Linked DNA regions of Nothobranchius furzeri. The protein of the gene in region 2 interacts with the protein of the main gene of each other region in a pairwise test. Links are inferred from orthologs where the notes say so. Each region holds a gene or a part of one and is shown on either strand. Other genes may lie near its edges.

Region 1 (6,914 bases), on a different chromosome or scaffold from region 2:
GAGTGCTACAGAGCTCATACTGATCCCACGGACAGCCACAGTACCTGCAGTCTGAACACAGACACTCAAATATAAAAACCATTGCTTGAATAATGTTTATTTTTCTGATCTTATTAGCCTTTTAAAAAAATTTCTAAATTAATTCAGGTTGGTTTATTTAGAAACTGACCTGAAATGATGTCATCATTCGAGGAGATTGTGTAGCGTTCATCAAACACAAAAAGTTTCCCTCGATAGAAACCTTCTGGAAAATGTTCCAGGTACTTGTGGATTCCACCTTTCAGTTGGTAGATCTCTTTACACACATCCTGCAGACAAGTCAGAGGACACACACATTCAACACTAACAAGCATTTCAAGATAAGGCTGCAAAAATGTAAGAAAATCAATCACAAGTGCCATCCTGTGGAGACGAGTGTCCTCCATAGGATGGCCGAGCTCAGCTCTTATGATAGAGACAGGGAGAGGAACACGATGAGGGGAGCCAGCTGAGGTGGTTCAGGCCTTTGGTTAGGATGCCTCCTGTGAAATTCCTGGCTAGAGGCTGACCGATATGGTTTTTTTAATGCCGATGCAGAGTTTTAAAGAATTTTGTTGCTGATGGCTGATATCTAAAGCCGATTATTAAGGCTGATATATGTACGTTTTAACAGCCTAACGATTGTGAAAGCCATCTGAACTGTGTGAAATATTAATTAAATAATCAATAAATCTCTTACTATTTACTGAACTTCAAATATAAAACAAACTCAAAACATTTTTAAAACAATGTGTTGGGGTCCTTTTGGGGTGCCTGACTTATTGTTTTTAATCAGATTTTAAAATTAATTTCGGACAATGGCCGATGTAGAAAAAACTGAATATATCGGCCGGCCTCTACTCCTCGGGTAGATGTTTCAGGCACGTCCCGCTGGCAGGAGGGCCCAGAAAACATCCAGAACATACTGGAGGGATCAGATCTCCAGGCTGGCTCCACAAGAGGAGGGGGTGAAAGTGGCTGCTGCCCCCATGATCCGGACACAGATCGTTGGAAAAAGGCATGCACAAGTTCCTCTGGTGTTAACCTTTAAATCAAATCGGTTCCACAAGAAGCTTTCAAAAAAAGAGAGATTAATAAACCGCATGACGATCTTACTTTTGAGCGAAGGTAGGCAGAGCCACGCTCACAGCGAATCCCTCCGGTGCAGTACATGAGGACCTTCTTGTCCCTGAACAGCTCCAGGTTCTGGTCGACGTAATCCGGGAAATAACTGAATTTACGGATATTTGGGGCCAGGCATTGAGTAAACTGTCCCTGAGGAGAAAATAAAATCTAATTCATGGAATCAATCTGGCTTTGTGCCACAAAATATTACACAAACTCCCAAGACCAACGTCTGATTTCACAACCAAAGCAATCACCAGAAACAGTGCTAAAATGACACAAAGCTCTGAATTCAACATCTATTTTAAACAATGCTTCCACAGATGTGAAGTTCTACAGAACAAAGAAGTTTTCATTTCCACGTGAATTGTGGGAGCTGTTGGACCTCGGGGATCTTGTGTAATAAGGCACATGCTGCTGACTAAACGTGTTCCGCAAAGACGCATTTATTTAATTTCTCACAACGATAAGAATCACATCAAACACAATCGGTTTCTGCAGATGAAACACCAAACACCTCAGTGTAGTGTTTTAGTGAAGATCCTGCTTGGCTTAAAAAATAAAATTACTACTCACAATTTTGCTCTCGTAAAAGTTGCGACAGTCCAAGAGGATGGTGTCGTTACACAAATCCCCTTTAGCCAAAGCAGTCTCCACTTCTTTATGAAACTCTTCTGGTTCCAGGTGAACTCCTGAGACGTCAAACAGAAATTAAGCTGGCCCGACAACAAAAACCCACTAAAAACAGCAAAATACAACTAAATTTGGCAGTTCTCCCTATATTAGATCTCACTGTAGCACTTGTTGCACAAACCTGCCATTTGGTAGGAAACAACATCAGGATCCACACCCATTGGGACAATCTCCTTAAAGACCCCGACCTTCAAATGTCTAAAACACTCAGCACCACCATCACTGGTCTGAACAGACACCAACACACAGAAGATTATAAATACTGGCAATAATAATGATTTCAAGACATTTTTAAAGTTTAAATTGGGCTCTCACAGGGAATGAAATGTTAACAACATGCAACATGACTGCTTTTCCTCTAATTCTGACCTTAAAATCCTCTTTCTCCATCTTGAAGAAAGGATGTGAAAGCATTGCATTGATGTAAAGATCAGTGGCCACGTTGGTACCACCAACTGTCCCGTTGATGCCTTCTGCTGCTACCCTTACCTACAGAAGATGATTGACATTTTAACTACTTAAATGTTTCTTTAAAATCCTCTATTTTCTGATATGATGTGCTAGAGTCTAGCTGAAAGGGTTTTCTTACCTTGCCGGTTAGGTGAAGTGACTCACACAGAGCTTCCTGCCATGCACAGACAGCATGTGGATCGTCCACTTCACAGTAACAATAATAGAGCAGAACCTTCCCAGGACCACTTCATAAAAACAAGAAATAAACAATCTGCATATGTTGAAATCTGATCAAATCTATAAAGGGGATGGATATAGATATGTATATACTCCATTCTGTTTACTTTTTTAGTTCACCCTCAGGGATGTGGCTGATATCTGGTATCCACATTGAAATGTCCACTGCCTCCGTCTTTTTCCCTTTCAGCTGCTGTGTTTCTGTGTCTTTTTCCAGCTGGCTTAGCAAATGTTCATATGTGGCCTGCGTGAGCTGCTGTATACTAGAATTGTGAGTTTTGGCCACATGTTGGTGAATCTCAGCATGTTCGACGAAGGTCAGGCTACAGCAGCACCAAGATGTGCTTCCTTTTCCTGCACACTCCTTCTTCGATGCTACGAAGGCAGCAAATGACTGTGAAAAGGAAGAAGCACGAATGGCATTTAGTTTAAGTAAATGTGTGCAAAATTCTAAGTTTAATGTGGGATGAAGTTTGTCGCTGCAGGTTATTTTGTTTTTATTTTGATACCTAACATTTGTCAGACATGTAAACAGATAAAATAAATGCTGCATTTACAACTATTTAAATAAACCAGTATTTACATAATATAAGTTCAACTTTATTTATTGAGCGCTTTCACATGCCCAGGAGGACAAACAAAGCGCTGTACACCAATACAAAAACAGCATTCAAATCAGAAATACACAAAAAAGTATACATTATTATTATAACTTAGCTCATCATAAAGCCAACAAACGGTCATTGTTTTTTCCCCACCTTTCTTCTGCAGAAACTGTAGTATCTTCTTTGTGAGGCAGAAAGTTGTCTCTCCTGTTTTAATCCATTACTTGTCGAAAAATCAACATCCAAATTCATGAAGCAGCCGGTTTCAATCGCTTCCATCCTAACGAAGCTGTTAAACACTGCCAGTTAGTCGATTTTTTGTCTAAATTAAATACATTTTAAGACAGTGATCGTGCCTTGCTGTCCTAACATTTATTTGCTGCCATCTTACCAAACATAAACTCTCAAACACGGTGAGGAAAAAAAGGTCACAAACGTGTTTCCGACAATGTCGGACGAAATAGGAGGACGGACTTTTCATTTGACCTCGTGCTGCCCCGGAAGTTCTCCACTTGAATCATACCGCTGTTATTTTTCTGCGGTGGTTTCTGCGTTGCACAGGCTAAATTAACTAAGTATCAGCTAGTTCGTCCGACTTGCTGCTTCGTTTCATATCGGTTTTTTCTTTTGGTTGTCTTGTGTGGATTTTAAAGTGGCCTAATATGTCCCGGAGACGACACAGCGACGAGAATGACGGTAAATCGGCGGAGATTCAGTCACACTTTAGGCTAATAGGCTAACATTAGCGTGTTTTCCTTTCCTTCACCCATGTTGGTTATTTGTTTTGCTAATACACGTGGAGTTTTTGGATAGCTTCCATCAAAATTAAAAAGAGCAAACTCGTTATCAGCTGACATTTGTGCAAAACTAAACAGCGAAGCTGAATGAACAGCGTAAGACAACCGCCAATAACCTATGCTGTTACTGTTAGCTGATTGATGGCTAACTAAACTGATATGGAGGCGGTACCAATGAGTAAAAGATACACAACCTGATAATTGGATCATTTCTGGTAAGTTGTTAAAAGTGTAAAACTGAGTCGGAAATTAATCCTGACACGTCATGTGGTGAGCTAAACTGCTAACAAGCATCATTCTAGAGAAAATATTTGATTTCCAGTGTCTGTCCTATTGATTTTGTTAAAGCAGTGCGTATTCCATTTTTAAACGTTTCTCCCTTTTGCTTGTACAGAAATGTGTTCACAGTTGAACCCATGTATAATATGCAGATGCTGGTAATGGAAAACAAAACATGGAATGAGAAAAATCTTAAATAGTCATGTAACTGCCTAAAAGTATGTGTGAGCTTCAAGTGAATGTTTCAGAAACCTTCCATTGTTGTCAGTTTTATTTAAAGTCCCATTAGTCATCATCGCACACTGGTGAAATTACATCTCTGCATTTGACACATCCTTGTGGGCAGCAGCGAACTGCAGCGATGGCTGCACTTGGGAACTATTTGGTGGTTTAGTCCCCCAATGCAGTCCCTTAAAGCTGAGTGCAGGGAGATATTGGGTCCCATTTTTAAAGTCTTTGGTATGACCCAACCAGATTTGAACCCTGATTTCCTAGTCGCAGGGTGGAGACCCATACCACTAGGCCACTGAGAAGGTTTGTCAAGCAGATAATGTCTCATTGTCAGTATGTCCTCAACAGGTCAAAATAGCAAGGATTAAAAGCCTTGAACTTCACTCTGGAACAGAATAATTGCTAAAGTATTGACATTCTCCTTTTATAATGCTGCTAACAGATTAATTATCTAAAAAGGGGCTCATGTGTTGATGTGAGTTAGGAGAAGAAACTTTCTCATACTCCGTAAACTGTGTTAAAGGAATCAACTTTGATGTGTTGCTCATTCTTTTGCGCAAGTCTTTACGCCTTATCAAGACACTCACACACACACACTTGGCCTGTCATCTTCAATAGATAATACTGTTTTGAACATTAGGATTAGATGTTCTTGTCTACTGAACTAGAGTGAGTCTGAACTCGGACACTTGTCTGCCCCCTGATGCCATGCAAGGACACTGGGTTATGGTGTGGCGATGTCTGTGTCTGGTGACCTTAACAGAGGAATACCTTTATTGGGTTACAATGATGAAGTTGCTAAAAGGCACTGCTTCGATTAAAAAGTGTAAGCTTTTAAACATCAGCTTAATTTCTGTTAATCTAGGTGTTTCTTAGCACAACACAACCTTTATCAAATAAATATGCAAGTGTTTACATGTATTACTCATTTACGCAGATTCTGTTGGTGTTTTCTGTGGTGTCGGTCAGAGTTTATGAACATGTGTTGATTGTGTGACTCTTTTACCCACCAGGAGGTCAAGCTCACAAGAGGAGGAGAACTTCTGAACCTATTGAGATTGAAGATCGTCTGGAATCCCTGATATGTCGTGTTGGGGAGAAAGTAAGAGCAGACAGACAGAGAGATGCTCTGAAATCTCCATCACTTGACTCTGTTGTATTTTGTTATTAACAGAGTACATCATCCCTCGAGAGCAACTTGGAGGGCCTTGCGGGCGTCTTAGAGGCAGATCTTCCAAACTACAAAAACAAAATTCTGCGTATTTTATGTTCTGTGTATGTTTGTATAGGTTATTGCTTTCTGATTAATAAAGAGGCATTCAGAAGGCAGACTTTACTAAAGCACTGTGTGTCAACAGCGCCCGCCTGCTACCTGAGAAGCTTACCGTCTACACAACCTTGGTCGGCCTTCTCAACGCCAGGAACTACAACTTTGGAGGCGAGTTTGTGGAGGCCATGATCAGACAGCTGAAGGAGACCCTGAAAAACAACTTGTACAATGAAGCTGTTTACCTGGTAAAGCTGATTTTCACACAATAAATCTTCACAAAAGGGAGTTTAAAATTCATCATGATGGGTTAATTTTTGGTTTTCAGGTGCGTTTTCTGTCTGACTTGGTCAACTGTCACGTGATTGCTGCTCCTTCTATGGTGGCCATGTTTGAAAACTTTGTGAGTGTTACTCAGGAGGAGGATGTCCCACAGGTAATCAACAGTTTCTGATCAATATGCCTGCTTCTGAGTACTTAAAGATTGTTATAATTGCTTGTACATATTTTATATGAGAACAGTCCTTTGTCTAACGTTTTTATCTTATCTGTTTTTCTTTGGTGTAAAGCTAATTATGTGTCTGTTGCTAATGCCTCTTGCCAGACCCTTGTTGTAAATGAGAATGAGTTCTCAATTGACTCATCTGGTTAAATAAAGATTCAGTAAATAAATAAAGGTAAACGTGAACTTGGGTTATGTCATTCTGATTCAGTTATTTGGGAAACAGATTTGTTCAGAATTGTTAACAGATTACAGTCAAATATATTTCATAAGATTATGACGTGATTTATGATTAATCAACACATTTGGGACTAATGATTCTCATATGGACCTGGCTGCATTACATGTGTGTCTTACGGGGGTGTAACTGGTCTCCTTGTTTCCTCAGGTTCGGTCTGACTGGTTTGTGTACGTTGTTCTGTCCTGTCTGCCCTGGGTTGGTAAGGAGCTTTATGAGAAGAAGGACGTTGAGATGGACCGACTACTCAGCCAGATCGAAGGCTACCTCAAGTGAGACTTCTGCCTTTTTTTTTCTCTATTCTTTACTGTTTTACATTCTCATTATTGAAAGAATGGTTTAATCCAATGAAATAATTTCATTCTACATTTAGCTCTGTAATGCCATTATATTTTCAGGAGAAGAGTCAAGACTCATGTTCCCATGCTGCAGGTTTGGACTGCAGAGAAACCCCACCCACAAGAAGAGG
Region 2 (5,510 bases):
ACTCATCCACTAGGGGCTGGTGCCAGAAGTGAGCAAATCCTCATTGACTCCCATGTTAAAAATGCCATGTTCACAGCAGAAATAAACATGTTTACAGCCTGATTAAAAAAAGATTTTAGGTTTAATAGATCTAGTTTACATTCATGACAACTCTGAGGGGGGTGAATTTTCTTGTAACTCTTCCGTTTAAGTGTAATTAAACGCTTGAAATTATGAATAATTAGATTTGATTGACAGGTTGCAAGAGTGTCAGAGCTAGTGCCAGCGGCTAGCTCCTGTGAAGACTTGTCACTTATAAATCACAGTTCGTGAAACATAAAATACGGCATTCGTGTGAGTCGTTAAGTTCCGAAGAGTTTTTCAGGAGGTGTGGGGTCTGGTTCAGTCTGTCTCTCTAAGATTCCCTTTTCAGAGAGGGGAGGGGAATCCATCTTGTTCACAAAATATCTTTGTTGTAGCATGTCACACATCATCATTTGGCCAATCACAGTCAGAGAGTGATTACTGATTACTTGCTGTGAGAGTATTCACAACATTCATTACTTGCTTCAACATCTCACAATGGGTGGAGTTCAAAGTTCAACTTTACTCATATTTTTAGTACATTTGCAGTAGGAATGGACAATATGGCATAAAATCTATATCACAAAAAATGTTGAAGCACTTGAAATAACAATAAATATCTTGATATGTTATTTTCTTCTGTTTATGTCAAAATGACTGTGGTCCTCCCTGGTAAGGTCTATTCAGGGGTTCTGGAGTGGAGGGTCTGACGGATTGTCGAACCTCAGATTCAGGAGGAGCAATGTGGTTTTCGTCCTGGCCGTGGAACACTGGTCCAGCTCTATACCCTTAGGGGTACCTGGGAGTTTGCCCAATCAATCCACATGTGTTTGTGGATTTGGAGAAAGCATTTGACCGCGTCCCCCGGGTGGCCCTCTGGGGGGTTCTTCGAGAGTATGGGGTACCAGGCCCTCTGATACGGGCTGTTAGGTCCCTGTATGACCGGTGTCAGAGCTTGGTCCGCATTGCCGGCAGTAAGTCGAGCTCGTTACCGGTGAGAGTTGGACTCCGCCAAGGCTGCCCTTTGTCACCGATTCTGTTCATAACTTTTATGGACAGGATTTCTCGGCACGGCCAAGGTGTGGAGGGCATCTTTTTTGCTTTTTGGGTAGTGACTGAATGAACGAGATGGCAGGTACAAGCGGCCAAAATGAGTTTTCTCCATAGGGTGGCTGGGCTCTCCCTTAGGGTGACAAGCTTGGTCACCCAGGAGGGGCTTGGAGTAGATCCGCTGCTCCTCCACATCGAGAGGAGCCAGTTGAGATCTGATTAGGATGCCTCCTGTGAGGTTTACTGGGCACGTCCAACCAGGAGAAGACTTAATGGAAGACCCAGGACACGCTGGAGGGACTACGTCTCTCAGCTGGCCAGGGAACGCCTTAGGATTTCCCTGGAGGAGCTGGCCCAAGCGGCTGGAGAGAGGGAAGTCTGGGCCTCCCTGCGACGTCAACAGAGTTTGTGTGTGAAATCCCTGATTTATAAACACTACCGTCTTAAGACAGGAGAAGGTTTAGCTAGAAGCTTAAAATCTGTATTGAAGACAAAAAAAAGTTATTAAAAGCCCATATGAGCTCTGGGATGACAACAAACATTGGTCCGATTTGCCGGTGTTCTGAGTTTGCAGGTATGATACTGATATTGGTGTTTACACTAATAATCTTAATACCTTTATAATGCAAGTCATTGAGCTTATTTGAAATCTTGTTGTTTGGCAACAAGCGCTACTGAAATATTTCAGTAACCTATGAGCGTTAACATACGGTGAACGACACAAAACTCAGATTCATATCAGTTTGTCCAGATCTACTGCCCCACTTTACCACTCTGAAACTTTCATTGTTAAGTCTCTTTATTGAGTGTTCCCGCTTCCTTCCCCACTGCAGGCGGTGGAGGCTGCACAGCTGGCAGAGGACCTGAAGGTGCAGCTGGAGCACACACAGGGCAAGCTGAAGGAGATCCAGGTCTCCGTGGCTGAGAACCGCACCGCTCGGGAGAGGGAGAGCAGCAACCTGAAACGAGCACAGGTACGCCGAATCCCCACGCCTGGGGATGTATTACCCCAAATCGAATTTAGTGGCTCTCAAGGTTCCGATTAAACACATTTGGTTTTGGTTAAGACATTTAGTTCCAGCTCTAACAACTCTCTTCCTCACGGTCTCCCAGGAGGATCTGTCCAGGCTGAGGCGGAAGCTGGAGAAGCAGAAGAAGGTGGAGGTGTACTCTGACGCGGACGAGATCCTACAAGAGGAGATCAATCAGTACAAGGTGAACAGAAATGTTCTTACTGGTCACAAAAGAATCCAGCTCATAGTGGGAGGAAAACAGTTCAGTTTAGCAAACAACAGTCAAAATACTAATTGCAACAATTTTGTGGTTGTTCTGGAAACTCGGGACCATAAAGAGGCCTTAAGCCTTCTCAGAACCACAGTGCTCTCAGTACTCACACCTGTGACTTGTTACACCCTTAAAGAAACCCATCCAGTCCCTAGAGGTGATAAAAGCTTTGGCATGTCAGTAACAGCCCACACACGTGTATTTATCCATCCTCAGGCCAAGCTGCGGTGCCCCTGCTGCAACACGCGAGACAAGGAGACGGTTCTCACCAAGTGTTTCCACGTTTTCTGCTACGAATGTCTGAAGATGCGTTACGACACCCGACAGAGGAAGTGCCCCAAATGTAACTGTGCCTTTGGAGCCAATGACTTTCATCGCATCTACATCACCTAGGTCGCCCAGCAGTGGAGCAAAGGAAAGAAAATTGAAGACAGAACCAAAGGAGGGGGAAAACATGGAGGAGAACTGAAGATCTATTACACGCTGTAGACATGTTTGGGATAAGGAATGAGTGTATCCCTGTTTTTGAGGAAAAAAAAGACTCGTGTCACATTTTTGTCATTCAGTGACCAAACCTAGTGATATATCTGACCAAGAGTGTTGTGATGTAGTTAATAAACACCCACAGAGCCGTTCTGGTTGATACTACACGTCAGGGCCAACTTTTAAAGCTTTTTAATGTATAGAAAAAGTGCAGTGGAACATGCTTGATCGTAATGAAGTGTTTCTTTGAACGCTTTTGTCCTGCTGGTTATGGAAGTCATTTGAAATCGCTGAAGCTTAAAGTTCTAAATTAAAAGAAGCCATCCCTTACAGACTGGAGGTTTGCATGTTTAAAGCTAAATGTGTTTCCAATCTAACAGCCAGATTTGTCTTACGTCTCTGCTTGGGCTATAGTATTAACAATGCCCGAGAGACATCAGCGAGTCTGGCAGCGGATCAGCACATACAGGAGTGTTTGGATCACCTTGGGCAAGCTGGGCTTGTGTGCATGAGTTCATTATGTTGCCATGGTTCCTGTTGGAGAGGTTGACACAACATCTGCAGCTTATAGTGGCTCATTACTGATGAAATCACTGCAGTGGAAAGTCAGCTCATATGGGTGTTCTTAGTGCAGCTCCAAGTCCCCCTCGAGTGCTTTTATTCCTAAAGGTTCGACGTGACAGCGGAGTACAAAAACATCTGTGCAAAAACATGCCCCCTCCTCTTTTATTTATTTATTTTTTGTTGTTTTTCACTCCAATTTGATGATGTGAAATATTTACAAAGAGTTTGCATAGCGTCTGTTTGACGTTAGTTCTTGTGGGAAAGGCAGTTCACACCACTCTAGAAGTCCCAGGCTGCAGAGATTAGCGGGGAAGGAGAAGAAAGGAAAAAAGAAAACCTGTATTAGGCATTTGGGAACAGTTAGCTCAGACTTCCTGCAGGAATTGGACATCATGTGGTGAAATAACTGGGCATTCGTTTGAACACATTCATATATTTGCATCACCAGAAAGTGCAGATGTATGGTTCTCATTAGACAGTGCTGTGACTGGGGTGAGCCTGATACTGTGTCCACTGGCTTTGTTATTGCATATTTGTGCTGCAGCAGCAGGCTACACCCAAGCCCAGGCATTAATAACACCACCCTGAGTCAGGGACACTGCTTCTATCAGAAAAATGAAGTTTACTTTTATTGCCTTGAATGTTGTTTGGGGCACAAAGTTTCTTCTGAAGTCTGCAAACTTTAGCTTAGAAAGCAGATTATTTTACTGGTGGGTGTCATCTGTTTCTGCCTGAGTTGCTGTTCCTCTCAGACCCCAGCCAGAGACTTGTGTACTTTGGCACGCGCTGGGAATGACGTCGACAGGCGTGGTAATAACAATGAGAACAACATAAATCCGGATCATACAGTGAAAAGGCAAGAAAAACGGGTGGGATGTGAACGTAAATATGAAATATGTGAAACTTCCATGGCTTAAGTGGTTTAGATGAAACTTTCACTTGAAACACGTGAAGCTGCGCGCGGGGCTTCCTGTGCGTAGCGAGAGAGAGAGAGAGAGAGCAGATAGGAAATGACTCATAGGAGTTGAACTGTTTAGCGTGGGTGTGTGCGTTATTAAAGCAAGGCGCAGACTCCTCCGCATGACTCACTCTCTGATGCTCGCTTTTCCATGCTGAAAATCCAGCACGGATTGTTAATCAGATGAACTTTTGGGAACCGTGGTGCCGACAGCGAGCAGCTCTCCATCCGCGTCCAGCATGGTTTCCACCGCTCTTTGCGCACCCTGCGTCTTTATTCTAGCGGCTCTGACCAGTCTCCATGGCTTGAGCGCAGAGATAAGTGAGTAAAACGATCTTGTTTTTTCCCTCACAACTTTGTTTCTTTACTAAAACTGTTCAACGTTTCAGCTCAATGAAGTCATTCTGTTTCTTTTCCCGAGTTGGTTTGAAACAATTGTGTCTTTGTTGTCCTGATGGAGCTCAAGGAGCCCAGATAGCGGCTGTTTACAGAACCGCTTCCTTTACCAGCTGCGTGTCTCACCGGTTCCGCATTCCGATCGCCTTACCGCAGCCATCCGCGCCCCTGGGTAGGTGGCGCAGGCTGCGTCCGCTTTGCGTAAAGACGCCTTTTACCATCTCTTGAAACAACAATGGCTGCTTATAATCGGTCCTATACGTTTGGATCAATCCCAAAGGAGAACCTGACTCACTGGCATCTAAAAACATCAACATCTAAAAGTATTAAATGACTAAACATGTCAGTTTCGTTTTCCCCCCAAATGTAATTTTTATGGTTGAACCATTTCTACATCTGGACATCAGCTGTTGCTGCAGCCGCCTCTTTCCATTTCGTGATAAAACACTTCACTTCCACACCCCTTCTGCACAGAAACACACCTGAAACCCAAAACTCCTAACTTTTAGTTCCTCACAGAAAACAGCTTCAGGTTTGTGTTTGGTGAAATTTGCTCAAGATGCCTCTCAGGTTTGGGTTAGATCAGAGGTCAAACACCAGTCACTTCCTCCCAGAGCTCCAGCCCTTTGGGGTGATTTAGGGCTGCTTACATGAACTGACACATTTCAGCCAATAGAGGCTAAGAAGTGAGTCAGTAAGTCCAGATTTGCTC

Evidence for each region.
Region 1: the proteins of rnf40 (region 2) and nuclear cap-binding protein subunit 1 interact in binary tests that used the Homo sapiens proteins (3 or more experiments, as listed by UniProt). The two-hybrid records come from large-scale screens. The link is inferred for Nothobranchius furzeri from reciprocal best matches to the Homo sapiens genes RNF40 and NCBP1.

What each region holds. Positions count from the first base shown.
Region 1 is NC_091741.1:71,547,231-71,554,144, reverse strand, and holds the start of nuclear cap-binding protein subunit 1, read left to right. Parts: upstream 1-3,655; 5' UTR 3,656-3,793; coding exon 3,794-3,827; intron 3,828-5,451; coding exon 5,452-5,540; intron 5,541-5,612; coding exon 5,613-5,713; intron 5,714-5,796; coding exon 5,797-5,953; intron 5,954-6,033; coding exon 6,034-6,141; intron 6,142-6,595; coding exon 6,596-6,717; intron 6,718-6,843; coding exon 6,844-6,913; intron 6,914-6,914. Other genes in the region: thiosulfate sulfurtransferase/rhodanese-like domain-containing protein 2, read right to left, coding at 1-51, 170-308, 1,135-1,293, 1,720-1,835, 1,958-2,063, 2,206-2,325, 2,426-2,534, 2,634-2,920 and 1 more. UniProt on the Homo sapiens protein: Component of the cap-binding complex (CBC), which binds cotranscriptionally to the 5'-cap of pre-mRNAs and is involved in various processes such as pre-mRNA splicing, translation regulation, nonsense-mediated mRNA decay, RNA-mediated gene silencing (RNAi) by microRNAs (miRNAs) and mRNA export.
Region 2 is NC_091756.1:31,892,528-31,898,037, reverse strand, and holds the end of rnf40 (E3 ubiquitin-protein ligase BRE1B), read left to right. Parts: intron 1-1,946; coding exon 1,947-2,087; intron 2,088-2,226; coding exon 2,227-2,328; intron 2,329-2,613; coding exon 2,614-2,790; 3' UTR 2,791-3,210; downstream 3,211-5,510. Other genes in the region: uncharacterized protein si:rp71-1c10.7, read left to right, coding at 4,642-4,723.